Saccharomyces cerevisiae S288C: one gene and its partner. The protein of the gene in region 2 interacts with the protein of the main gene of each other region in a pairwise test. Each region holds a gene or a part of one and is shown on either strand. Other genes may lie near its edges.

What was found. The genes of interacting proteins can lie anywhere in the genome.
Region 1: the proteins of COT1 (region 2) and FTH1 interact in binary tests that used the Saccharomyces cerevisiae proteins (3 or more experiments, as listed by UniProt).

What each region holds. Positions count from the first base shown.
Region 1 is NC_001134.8:632,403-637,043, reverse strand, and holds FTH1 (Fth1p), read right to left. Parts: upstream 1,899-4,641; coding exon 501-1,898; downstream 1-500. Other genes in the region: DUR12 (bifunctional urea carboxylase/allophanate hydrolase), read left to right, coding at 1-341; mannosyltransferase KTR3, read right to left, coding at 2,208-3,422; LDH1 (triacylglycerol lipase), read left to right, coding at 3,663-4,641. UniProt on the Saccharomyces cerevisiae protein: High affinity iron transporter probably involved in transport of intravacuolar stores of iron.
Region 2 is NC_001147.6:903,484-911,777, forward strand, and holds COT1 (metal cation transporter COT1), read right to left. Parts: upstream 4,073-8,294; coding exon 2,753-4,072; downstream 1-2,752. Other genes in the region: SFG1 (Sfg1p), read left to right, coding at 1,277-2,317; YOR316C-A (uncharacterized protein), read right to left, coding at 4,243-4,452; long-chain fatty acid-CoA ligase FAA1, read left to right, coding at 5,860-7,962. UniProt on the Saccharomyces cerevisiae protein: Vacuolar transporter that regulates zinc homeostasis by mediating zinc transport and storage into the vacuole. Plays a role in resistance to zinc shock resulting from sudden influx of zinc into cytoplasm.

The sequences.
Region 1 (4,641 bases), on a different chromosome or scaffold from region 2:
AGGAGGGCCAGCTTGGTGAAAGAGCAGAGGAATTTGCCAAATTGATTCAAAATGCAAACTCTGAACTAAAAGAAAGTGTCACAGTCAAACCTGACGAGGAAGAAGACTTCCCAGAAGGTGCAGAAATTGTATATTCTGAGTATTCTGGGCGTTTTTGGAAATCCATAGCATCTGTTGGAGATGTTATTGAAGCAGGTCAAGGGCTACTAATTATTGAAGCCATGAAAGCGGAAATGATTATATCCGCTCCTAAATCGGGTAAGATTATCAAGATTTGCCATGGCAATGGTGATATGGTTGATTCTGGTGACATAGTGGCCGTCATAGAGACATTGGCATGAATTACCTTTTGTTGGCATCTAAAATCAAAGGAGCACTCATTTAGTCTTTATAGCATGCCTTTTTCTAGCTATTTTTAATGACGAATATATATGTACATAGTATTTACTGTAAAATGTATGAAAAGAAGCTTAAAATTATTACGTGTGTTTGTTATGTTCTCAATTTGCTGAACCACTGCTATCAATTATTAGGGGCACAGAACTATCTTTGGACCGTCTTTGACTGTCTGGCTCTGATGTGCTAGAGTTGAGTTCAGAAGTATGATGTTTGAGATCGAGCGATGCCTTGGCAATGCTTAATCTTTTCATAATACGTTTCTTTTGCCAGCTAATAGGTAGATATGGGATATATCCGTATTTTTCTTCTATCATTAGCAGTTTCAAAGCGCATATTAATACCAACCAGTAGGCGTTGTAGCTAATTACAGAGCCGACGGTAGCACTATTCGTCCAACCAAAAATGGCAGTAAAAATCATCCAACCTCCATCTTTTTCACCATTGCAACAATTAACATGCCAAACAGAACGAGATATGTCGTACGAACCGGGTCCATTTCCTACTTCACTCATGTCTTGACCGTTACATTTGTTGACGTAGTCTTGCAATTCAAGTTGCCATACACCTTTGGAAAACAAACCAGCCGCGATCAAGTAGAGGAAGCAGGTGGCGACTACAAGGCATATCTTAAGTGAAAGAGAACTTGAGTACCTGAAGAAAAAAATACCGAACACCGTACTGATTGCAGTAGCAAGGACCATAGAGAGGGGAATCGAGGATAGTGGTTGGTCAATACCGATACCTCCAATGAATACAACAGCTTCTAACCCTTCTCTCAAAGTCGTTATAAATGGTAATATGAAGAAGGAGTACTTTTCACTGAATTTCACACCTTTTTGGGTTTTGTTTCCCAGCAAATTATTGTCCTTTGAATAAATGATAGAAGCTAATTTCACTCTGAACTTCTCTCTTAACTTCCCCATTCTTAAAAAAAACAACCCCATGACAGAAATAATAACGGACGCGACAAGACTTAAGACACCTTCATAATAATGTTCACTCAGTGTCCATAAGTCGGTTCCAATATGATAAAAGATACTAACAAACGCACCCCCGATTAACATACACAGCAACAAACCAAATGCGCCGCCCGCTAGAATTTGTATTTTTAATTTCTGATATAGCTTAACGTTGTCAGCCGTATGTTCATCGGACTCGCGGTCCTGGTCTCTAAGCTCATTAGAGTACTCGTAAATTTCTTCTTCTTCCTCCACATTTAGCGGCCTCGATTTATTATTAGCAGCCGTAGCGGACGTTCCAATAGCATTACCGTCTGAAGGCCCTGCTTGTAAGAAGGCAGTGGTCGAATCTGCGTTTGTGTTCGTATTTGGACTTGGAAGACCAGCAGAAGAGGAACTTCCTTCAAACGGGCTGTCGTCCTCAACAGACAGACCTTGTTTGACGATCGTCAACAGGATAGAAACAATGACAACAATTTCTAAGGATTCCCTTAAGAAAATGAAGAATATCTGGAAAGAAAAATAATCCTCAAACGCCATGGTGACTAGAAATATGAACACCACTCTAGTTCTCTATTCTTAGAGTTTTTTCGCTTTTCTGTAGAGGACAAAAGTTCAGTAAGATGCTTGATTCTTTATAATATCAAGTTTGTGTTTTTGTAGGCTGGTTTAGATACAATTTTGCTTTTCTCTCTTCATCTCCGGCCGCACCGCACCCATTTTTGAACCCAAGAAGGCACTAGAATAAAGTGAGGTGGCTACTACATTGAATTATGTGTATATAGATAGATACATGTTGACGTTTTAGCACCTGTTTTGACGGAGCAGGCGCTATTTGTAGTTTGGTTTTTAAATTCCTGGTGGAAGCTTGTAATTTCCTGCTGAAAAGTACTTTCTAGTACAGAAGTAGTCAGGAGTCCAGGTGACGTCCTTGCTAGGTTCGCAGATACACTTGTTTTGTAGTCTAATCTTCTGTTCGATAGGACAAGAGGTGAAATCTGGATGATGGAATCCAAGACCGTCAAAGAAATGGATTTCTGACTTGTCCAAGAACAAAGAGGCAGCGATGGAGTGCACTGGCGCATCCCCCCATCTTTCGTAGAAGAATCCACCAGAACTGTCTAAGTAATCAAAGTATTCTCTGTATGCATCGGACCTGAAGAAGTCTAAAGAGCCGATTTCGAAGTTGGTCCAGAAATGACACATATTATAAGTGTCACCATCATCATTCGAAATGAATTTCATGAGGTTATTTTTGTGTAAGAATTTAGGATTTTTCTTGATGAATTTCTTTGTCGTTTCCCACAAGGTTGGGATTGTGCGCTCATATTCACTTACCGAAAGAATGAATCCATATTTCTTGTTATTTACTTTTAAAAACTTGAATATGTCATACTGAATATCACAGAATAAAGTGATATCGGTATCCACTCTCCAAAACCATTCGTACTCCTCCAGTAGTGGGTGTCTCCATATGAACCCTGACTGGAAACGGCACATGTGACGGTAAGGCACGGAACTACCATATGGAATATCCAATTTTCCCATTGCAAGCCTTTTCTCATCGAATTTTTCAGTATCGATCCAAGATGGAATGGACCAATGGTCCTTTGGGATTGTCCCATATTTTGCCTTGCCTGAAACCAATGCACTGGTAACACGTTTAAACTCATCACTAAATGGTTGGTCATTCAAGAACACCCAATCGTAGTGATATCTGTTATTGAACCTGTCTTCAACATGTCTAATAGATTTTACCAAGTTCCATAAATCTGAATTCCTGGCCAATGTGACCATAACACCCTTTTCCTTCTTTCCATCGTCCACGGGATGGATTACTCCTTGTGACTTGTCAGTAAACGGCATCAAATAATCCTTACTGGCTACACGACTGACACTGGTGCCCTGAGCTATTGGTACCTCTGGGGACCTTGAGCCACTCATGAAAAATAAAAAGGATAACACTATGATGAGCCCAATGAATGATGATCTGATTCCCTTTTGGTATTTTCTAATCAGCAATGCCGATTTGGGCATTAGCTTCTTTTTGTGGTGCACAGACATAATTGCACGCTGGATATTGATAGTGTTGTTGTCCGCAGACGAGGCCTGACCTTCTTTATGCAAATTTTAACCATCAGTTACGTTGTTTTCTTCGAAAAGTTTCAAGAGGACGCGCCATTCTTTTAACCCGGCAATTTTAAAGGGTTCATTAATAAAGAACTACCAAGATGGTACAGTCGCATTTGGATCGTAACTCAACGTTAGAAGAAAGCCTTAAACCGAGAACTTTTTCTCTTGGTAATGAATATGGCAGAACGTGCAGAAGCAACAAAAAGTTGGTCCTGTGAGCCCCTTTCTGGAAAGACGCTAGAAGAGATTGTTCAAAATGCAGAAAATGCAGCTGATTTGGTAGCTTACATTCGCAAACCAGAGGTAGATTTGGACTTTAGGTTGAAGTTTATCGCAGAACATGAGGAGTTTTTTAATGTACAACTATCGGATCGAAATTCAAGAATAAGGACGTGTCACAACTTGAGCGATAAAGGGATACGGGGTGATACTGTTTTCGTCTTCGTGCCTGGGTTGGCTGGCAACTTAGAACAATTTGAACCCTTACTCGAGCTTGTGGACTCTGATCAAAAGGCATTTTTGACGTTAGATCTGCCCGGCTTTGGTCATAGTTCAGAATGGAGCGACTACCCCATGCTGAAAGTGGTGGAACTTATTTTCGTTCTTGTATGTGACGTCTTAAGAAAATGGTCTACAGCGGTGCCGAATAATGATAACGTAAATCCATTTAACGGTCATAAGATAGTGCTTGTAGGGCATTCTATGGGTTGTTTTCTGGCATGTCATCTTTACGAGCAGCACATGGCTGATACAAAAGCGGTACAAACGCTAGTTTTGTTGACGCCCCCCAAAGCACATATCGAGCAGCTTTCTAAGGATAAACATATTATCCAGTGGGCTCTCTATGGTGTGTTTAAATTGCCATGGCTATTTGACGTTTATAGAAACAAATTCGATCAGGTAAAAGGTCTACAAAGTTCCGGCATCAAGCAGTATTTTTATCAACAAGGTGATGATGTCAAGTTGAAATACAGGAAGTTCTGGCAATTTAAAAACAACATAAGCAACAAAAGTAGAACCATCATAGGTTATTTACTAGGATGGGAAACTGTTGATTGGGTTAAATTCAATGGTGTATTGACGCAAACGGATATGAAACAGAAAATTATAATATTTGGCGCTGAAAAAGATCCTATAGCTCCTATTGAAA
Region 2 (8,294 bases):
CAATGTCAGTTAAAAAAATAATGGAAACGTTAGTTCCCACCCAGAAAGACAACAAAAAAGTGTTTTCTTTTCGAAGTATTCCAAGATTTCGTTGTCATGGCATATCGGTACAATCTTTTGGTTGGAATGAATAAAATCAGTTATCGTCCCACCAATGGGAATAGAGCATATAATGTTATCTCAGGACAGCAGTGATGTCCAAGAAAGTAACTACGAGAGTTTTACTATACTACATATTATAAGGACAAATAGTTGCATAGCAACAAGCTTGGGGGATAAACATCAAGAGAATGCATTGAGTTACTACGCAGGCCTTAAAGTAAGGCGATTCCACGGCAGTAATTAGTTTAGATAACAACTTACTCTACTGCGAGCTCTTCTTAAAAGACGTGTCCTTTTAAGATTCAGAAGCATTTTCTTGGGTAGGGGTTTTTTGCGTTACTCTGTTTTTTGAGATCGTAATTCGACACATAAAACTCTCAGCTAGCCCACCCTTTGGGCAAGTTATACCTTTCTACTTTCGTCCAATCCATACATCGCCCAATTAGGATAAAAGTAAATAACATATTCGAGTTTTGTAAATATCCGAAAGGGGAAGACAAGGAAATATCTAGGCACCAAATCCCTTTTTGGAAATGCGAACCACGGGAATATGCAAAAAAAAAAAGAAAACAATCCCGCTTTTTCAAGATTTCAGGCCGATTTTGAGATTAAAGTTTGACAGCCTCAGTCTTAAAAACAAAACAGTATGACAGAACGATTCAAAGAAACTACGGACAAAGGATTTATGCTAAACTGGTCACGCCGTTATAGACAGCAGTAATGCATGGAAAATCCCATGGCTATTCTAATCGGGTTTAAACTTTTTTTTTTCAGCTGCGAATATCTCTTAGTGCAAATTGGTAAACAAGAGAGCTCACAACACACTAAATACGTTGTGTAACGATACATAGCCTTGCTTAGGTAAACGACAGATGCATGCCCATTTCGATAGGAAAATCTTGAATTTTAAGCCCGTTACCGTAAATGTCATTCGATACTGTTTACAGTTTAGTTTTAAAGCGGTAACATTCTTGTTAATTTAAAATGGATCAATTTTGTCACTCTACGAGGAAAATCAAGCGAAGTATTATTTAAACGCAACATTTCTTTGTGCCTTCCACACTTCAGCTATATTTGGAACTTAGGCGCGTTTAGGTGATAAGTTGTTCTGTAAATATGTTTGATTAGTTAAACAAGAGAAATATAAAATTAAGAAAAAAAAAATTTCAAAAACATGGATGAAATGCATTCTTCAGACACACTTTTGTTGCGAACACCGAAATCAAAAAAAAAAATTGGGCTTGTAATACCCAGTACACCAAGTAAAAAATGTAAATATTCATCAGGCTTTATAGCAGAAGACACTACGCCCTCCAAACGGTTTCGTTTATACCAAGCCAAATTTAAGACAAGTTCAAAGAATGTCAAAGCCCAAACTCTTAGCGTATCAATAAAAAAAAATCAAGGTGAAATCACCAATCCATTTATGACCGAAGGATATAATGATTACCGGAATATTGTCAGTCCTGGATTGAGTTTTGATAACGACTGCTTTTCAGAACATGAATTAGTTAGTCCATTGAGTGATATATCTTCGATAAACTCGACATCGCCTGATGTTGAAAAGATTGATTCTTTAGATCCTTTTGGCGTTGATTCTTTTGTCTGGAACTGTAAGCCGCTTGTTAATAAAGAAGCACTGGAGCTCCACCGAATGATTCATTCTTCGTTTCCGATGAGCCCACTGGAATCCAACAGTGATGTGCCACTTTTATTGCCTAAACTCAAAAAAAGGTTATCTCCAGTAAACAGATCGACCTTCAAGCCAACAAGGTACGAACCCTCTCACCGTCTATTGAAGCCCAAAAAATCAATTCTAACAGTACCAGCCAAATCTCTGAATCTCATAGTCAGTTCGTCGCGAGGCTCATTAAATGACGCTACCATCTTTGCCACCGAAATAAATTCTACTTTGAGCAATGAAGAAAACAAATTACCAGCAATTTCTAGTATTTGGGAGAAGCTCACAATTCCAGTAAACTCTTCAATTAAGGAGAAATACAAGAAGCTTAAAGACCAAATATATGGGCAAGCTAGTAATTTTGGCGAAGATGAAGATAATGAAGAAGACAATGAAGACGACCTTCCCGACGCGGCAGTAATAAGAGGTTACGAATTTCAGTCAGGAAGGCGCGATGAGCTGACGCAATGTAATGAACTACAGAGTACGAAGGACTACAAAAAAGTTCAGTGGGCAAAGGTTTTAGAACAATAACTAGGTTCTTTTTCTTCTAATTTGTTGAATTCTAAACAAAGGAGTTTTTTTTTATTATTTCTTAACAACTGGTCTTTTTAATTAAATGAAAAAAGATAACAGCATTATTGTGCTAAGTATTGTACTCTTTTTTAGAAGCTGGAGTAATCTAAAAAAAGCTAAACACCATTATTACTATTTTCCTTCCTCAAGTTGTTGTTTTGCAAGACTATTGCTATTATATTATTATTATGATCATCATTATTATCACCTGTTTTCGCTTTTCCTCTTTTTTTATATTATCTCCTATACTTCTTACTGTAACAAAATTTATGATAAACATTGTATAAAAACATTATAGACGACTATATATATGTGTGTGTGTGTATGTATATGTACCGTATAACGATTTTTAAAAGTATTTAATTCTTCACGCTTTTTCGTTATAAAGTCCTTTTAATGATCCTCTAAGCAATCAGCTGTGTTGCAGTTGGCAGCGTCGTCGATAAGACAAGTGGAACCTGAAATGCCAGTACCATATGTCTTTGGCCTTAATGAAAGCGGGTCATTTTGTAGATGATCACCTTGGGAGTCTCCGGCTCTTTCGGTTGAAGTAACCTCTCTGGTAATAAATTCAGGTTGCAAAGTAGCGGAGTGAATGCCATAGCGGTGAAGTTTTGATCTAACTATTTTGGCCAGGTCAGTAAATTGTTCCGGGCTGATATCTAGTTGAATATGCAAAGATGCAATAAAAATAGACTCTGTTAAATTCCAAATATGGAAATCATGAATAGCTATTATTCCTGGTATTTTCAAAAGATCACCTTCTACTTGATCGCCGGATAAAGTGGAAGGTGTCGCTTGTAACAATATTTTGGAAGCCTTGCACGATAGAGGAAGCGCAGAGGAAAAAATTATACCGGTAATTATCAATGAGACAAGCGGATCTGTATAATACTTCCAAGAATAGTCGGTCTTCCAAATGAAAAATGCAGACAACATAACGCCGATGTTGCCAAGAGCATCGCCCAAAACGTGAAGAAACACACCATGCATATTTAAAGATCTCTTGCGCTTGTTGTGTTCTGTGTAATTTCCGCCGCTGGCAATCGTATGGCTTGACGTTGAGTATGATGGCGTCTTGGATGCATTTTCCGGTGTCAATAATCTAGTATTTTCGTTCATAAAACTATCTACTATAGCATTAGGCATAATCTCACTAATGTTATCCGTACTATCCATTGGTGTAGTATTCTCTATTCCATCAACATGGGCATGTGTATGTGTGTGGGATGATGGCATATGCATCTCATGGTCGGCAAAGATACCGCCATGGGAATGTCCGTGTCCATGTCCATGCTCTTGATCATTGTCGTGAAATAAGAAAAGTCCAACGGTGTTCGATATCAACCCTGCGACACCCACATACAACACAAACTTAGGATTTTCAATCACGGGGGGAGCAATAATTCTTTGTAGCGCTTCTATCAAAATTGAGACACATAAGGCAATCAAAAAGACGGCGTTAATCAGAGCACCCAAAATCTCCGCCCTTTTCCAACCATAAGTGTACGTTGAATCCGGATTTCTGTTTTTGGCAACATTTACGGCCCAAAGTGCAACCACAAGAGAAATTATATCGTTTAGCATATGGAATGAGTCCGCGATTAGAGCCAAAGAGTGAGACAAGTACCCGGTAGTTATCTCGATCCCGAAGAACACTGTGTCTAGCAGCAACAAGGATATAATTTTTACCTGTTTGCTTCCGAGTTTCATATTTACTCAATCTTTCCGTACTTTGTGTTAACTTTCTTTCTATAGCTATGCAGAACTATTCTGAGCAAAGTGAAAATAATTGGTTACTAAATAGAACCAGAAATGCTTTTCGAGCTCCCACGTAGAATATATAAGACCAATAAATTCCTTTATTGTACGGATATTCTGCATTACAAATGAGTCTTCTGCTTTATGCGGATCGTCAGCTTATATTGCCTTCGTACAGAAAATGAAAATTCACTACTGGAAACGGGTGAGCGGATGTATGAGTGTATAGTATACACCCGGTTTTTTTTACCCTTTCTAAGACCGGAGCTGGCGACAGTAAGTGATAAGCGGCCGTTGGCGGCCGTGGGTGAGTTATGCATGGGAACCAGCATGAGCCAGCGATGTTCACTATAAAGAGATTAAATGTAGAAAGTGCTGAGAGACCGATCGATTGGTAAACTTTTCAAAAGGTGGCCTTCTCCACACTTTCTTTTTCCCTCGTTCACTCTGCCTTGATCACATGCTTTTTTCTATGGTTAACTTTGAAAAATTCGTTCCATATCGCCCGCCACAAGTTAAAACCAGATATGCGTGGGATATAGTAGGGTGGACTGTTAAGTTAGCTATAATGGGCTTGTACTCTTTTTGAATACAAAAACCACCTTTCTACACCTTAATACAAGCGGTGGTTGGAAAGCATTCTTGATATATATAATTATATGAGTTTTGAAAAAAAGTACTGGGCATCATTTAAATAAGCGGGCTAAACTTTGTTTATGTTTAGGTTAACGATAGACATATTTATTTTTTTTTCTAGGAATAAAAATGAAGAACGGGAAGAAAAGGAAAAATGAAAATGAAGAATATGAAGAGTAAACCTACTTAAAAAAAAAAACCATACTTTAGTATTTAATGTAGCTACCACGCGTATTCGATACACTATTATTTTTCTTGACTTAGTATGTCAATTGTAGGTAGCCTCATGATGCCCTCTTGATCTAAGCGCGGTGAAAGTCCGCAGGCAATTGCTATAATACTGACAAAATTTATAAGGGGAGAGGGTCTTTTTTCGGTCCGCACGGAGCGGGCGAAGAAAACGTAGCGGTGAGAAAAGAATACGTCACCAAAGTATCAGAAACGTCACTGCGTTGTAGATGTAAGACCGATCCACTTTGCCAGCTGCTTACGCTGCGGAAAGTAAACAGACCTAGCTAGCGGACCGATAGAGCCGGCTGAACTTTATAACAAATGCGCCTTCTAACAAGCGATGAAGCCATGCTTAGCGCGGCAAAGAGAATTACTTAGAATATGGATGATGCAGCCCTGTCATATTCTTCCATAAGGGAATGACAAGGACAATAGTAAAGTCGATCACGCCCTGTCAGGAACATGATCTCCGCCATGTGAATATTTATGCATGATACAGGCACGAATACATCATATAATACGAATGACACAGGGGCACCCACCCATCGCATATCAGGAGAACTTCCCTGTGCATACGGGACAGCAGAGATAGGCTGTTCTCGCGCGTTTTTTTTTTTTTTTTGCTTTTTTTGGTTCCTTTCGCGGATATCGTATTATCGATATTACAACAAAAATGTTTGGAGATCTCCTTCGCTGTCTTTAAGTAAAAGGCTTTAACCGCTTATTTTTCTCTCTTTTTTTCCTTTTACCCCTCACTTGTCGTGAGACAATTGTAGTATATTTAGTAAGTATAGAAAGTTCTTGTTGTTAAAAAACTCGTTAGGATACAATAAAAACTAGAACAAACACAAAAGACAAAAAAAGACAACAATATGGTTGCTCAATATACCGTTCCAGTTGGGAAAGCCGCCAATGAGCATGAAACTGCTCCAAGAAGAAATTATCAATGCCGCGAGAAGCCGCTCGTCAGACCGCCTAACACAAAGTGTTCCACTGTTTATGAGTTTGTTCTAGAGTGCTTTCAGAAGAACAAAAATTCAAATGCTATGGGTTGGAGGGATGTTAAGGAAATTCATGAAGAATCCAAATCGGTTATGAAAAAAGTTGATGGCAAGGAGACTTCAGTGGAAAAGAAATGGATGTATTATGAACTATCGCATTATCATTATAATTCATTTGACCAATTGACCGATATCATGCATGAAATTGGTCGTGGGTTGGTGAAAATAGGATTAAAGCCTAATGATGATGACAAATTACATCTTTACGCAGCCACTTCTCACAAGTGGATGAAGATGTTCTTAGGAGCGCAGTCTCAAGGTATTCCTGTCGTCACTGCCTACGATACTTTGGGAGAGAAAGGGCTAATTCATTCTTTGGTGCAAACGGGGTCTAAGGCCATTTTTACCGATAACTCTTTATTACCATCCTTGATCAAACCAGTGCAAGCCGCTCAAGACGTAAAATACATAATTCATTTCGATTCCATCAGTTCTGAGGACAGGAGGCAAAGTGGTAAGATCTATCAATCTGCTCATGATGCCATCAACAGAATTAAAGAAGTTAGACCTGATATCAAGACCTTTAGCTTTGACGACATCTTGAAGCTAGGTAAAGAATCCTGTAACGAAATCGATGTTCATCCACCTGGCAAGGATGATCTTTGTTGCATCATGTATACGTCTGGTTCTACAGGTGAGCCAAAGGGTGTTGTCTTGAAACATTCAAATGTTGTCGCAGGTGTTGGTGGTGCAAGTTTGAATGTTTTGAAGTTTGTGGGCAATACCGACCGTGTTATCTGTTTTTTGCCACTAGCTCATATTTTTGAATTGGTTTTCGAACTATTGTCCTTTTATTGGGGGGCCTGCATTGGTTATGCCACCGTAAAAACTTTAACTAGCAGCTCTGTGAGAAATTGTCAAGGTGATTTGCAAGAATTCAAGCCCACAATCATGGTTGGTGTCGCCGCTGTTTGGGAAACAGTGAGAAAAGGGATCTTAAACCAAATTGATAATTTGCCCTTCCTCACCAAGAAAATCTTCTGGACCGCGTATAATACCAAGTTGAACATGCAACGTCTCCACATCCCTGGTGGCGGCGCCTTAGGAAACTTGGTTTTCAAAAAAATCAGAACTGCCACAGGTGGCCAATTAAGATATTTGTTAAACGGTGGTTCTCCAATCAGTCGGGATGCTCAGGAATTCATCACAAATTTAATCTGCCCTATGCTTATTGGTTACGGTTTAACCGAGACATGCGCTAGTACCACCATCTTGGATCCTGCTAATTTTGAACTCGGCGTCGCTGGTGACCTAACAGGTTGTGTTACCGTCAAACTAGTTGATGTTGAAGAATTAGGTTATTTTGCTAAAAACAACCAAGGTGAAGTTTGGATCACAGGTGCCAATGTCACGCCTGAATATTATAAGAATGAGGAAGAAACTTCTCAAGCTTTAACAAGCGATGGTTGGTTCAAGACCGGTGACATCGGTGAATGGGAAGCAAATGGCCATTTGAAAATAATTGACAGGAAGAAAAACTTGGTCAAAACAATGAACGGTGAATATATCGCACTCGAGAAATTAGAGTCCGTTTACAGATCTAACGAATATGTTGCTAACATTTGTGTTTATGCCGACCAATCTAAGACTAAGCCAGTTGGTATTATTGTACCAAATCATGCTCCATTAACGAAGCTTGCTAAAAAGTTGGGAATTATGGAACAAAAAGACAGTTCAATTAATATCGAAAATTATTTGGAGGATGCAAAATTGATTAAAGCTGTTTATTCTGATCTTTTGAAGACAGGTAAAGACCAAGGTTTGGTTGGCATTGAATTACTAGCAGGCATAGTGTTCTTTGACGGCGAATGGACTCCACAAAACGGTTTTGTTACGTCCGCTCAGAAATTGAAAAGAAAAGACATTTTGAATGCTGTCAAAGATAAAGTTGACGCCGTTTATAGTTCGTCTTAATGGATCAACATTTCCATGATAGGAAAGCCTCATCATACTAAAGCACTTTTTCAGTTTTTTGCTTTAGAACTGCTACCAATTATAAAATAGAATGCACAGGTTATCTTGTTTGGTTTGTTATTATCCTTTTTTCTTCTTTACCAGTCATATCACCTCATTCACGTATGTTCGTAATTTATAATGTTAAAAATGGCATATATAGATATATTTATGAACATCCTAAAAAATAACTAAATTTTTCTACATTTCAAAAAAGGTAACGTTGACTGCCGCATGGCAGTCTAATTAGGAGCTTAGTGATACATATATATATATATATAAATTTCGGCCAA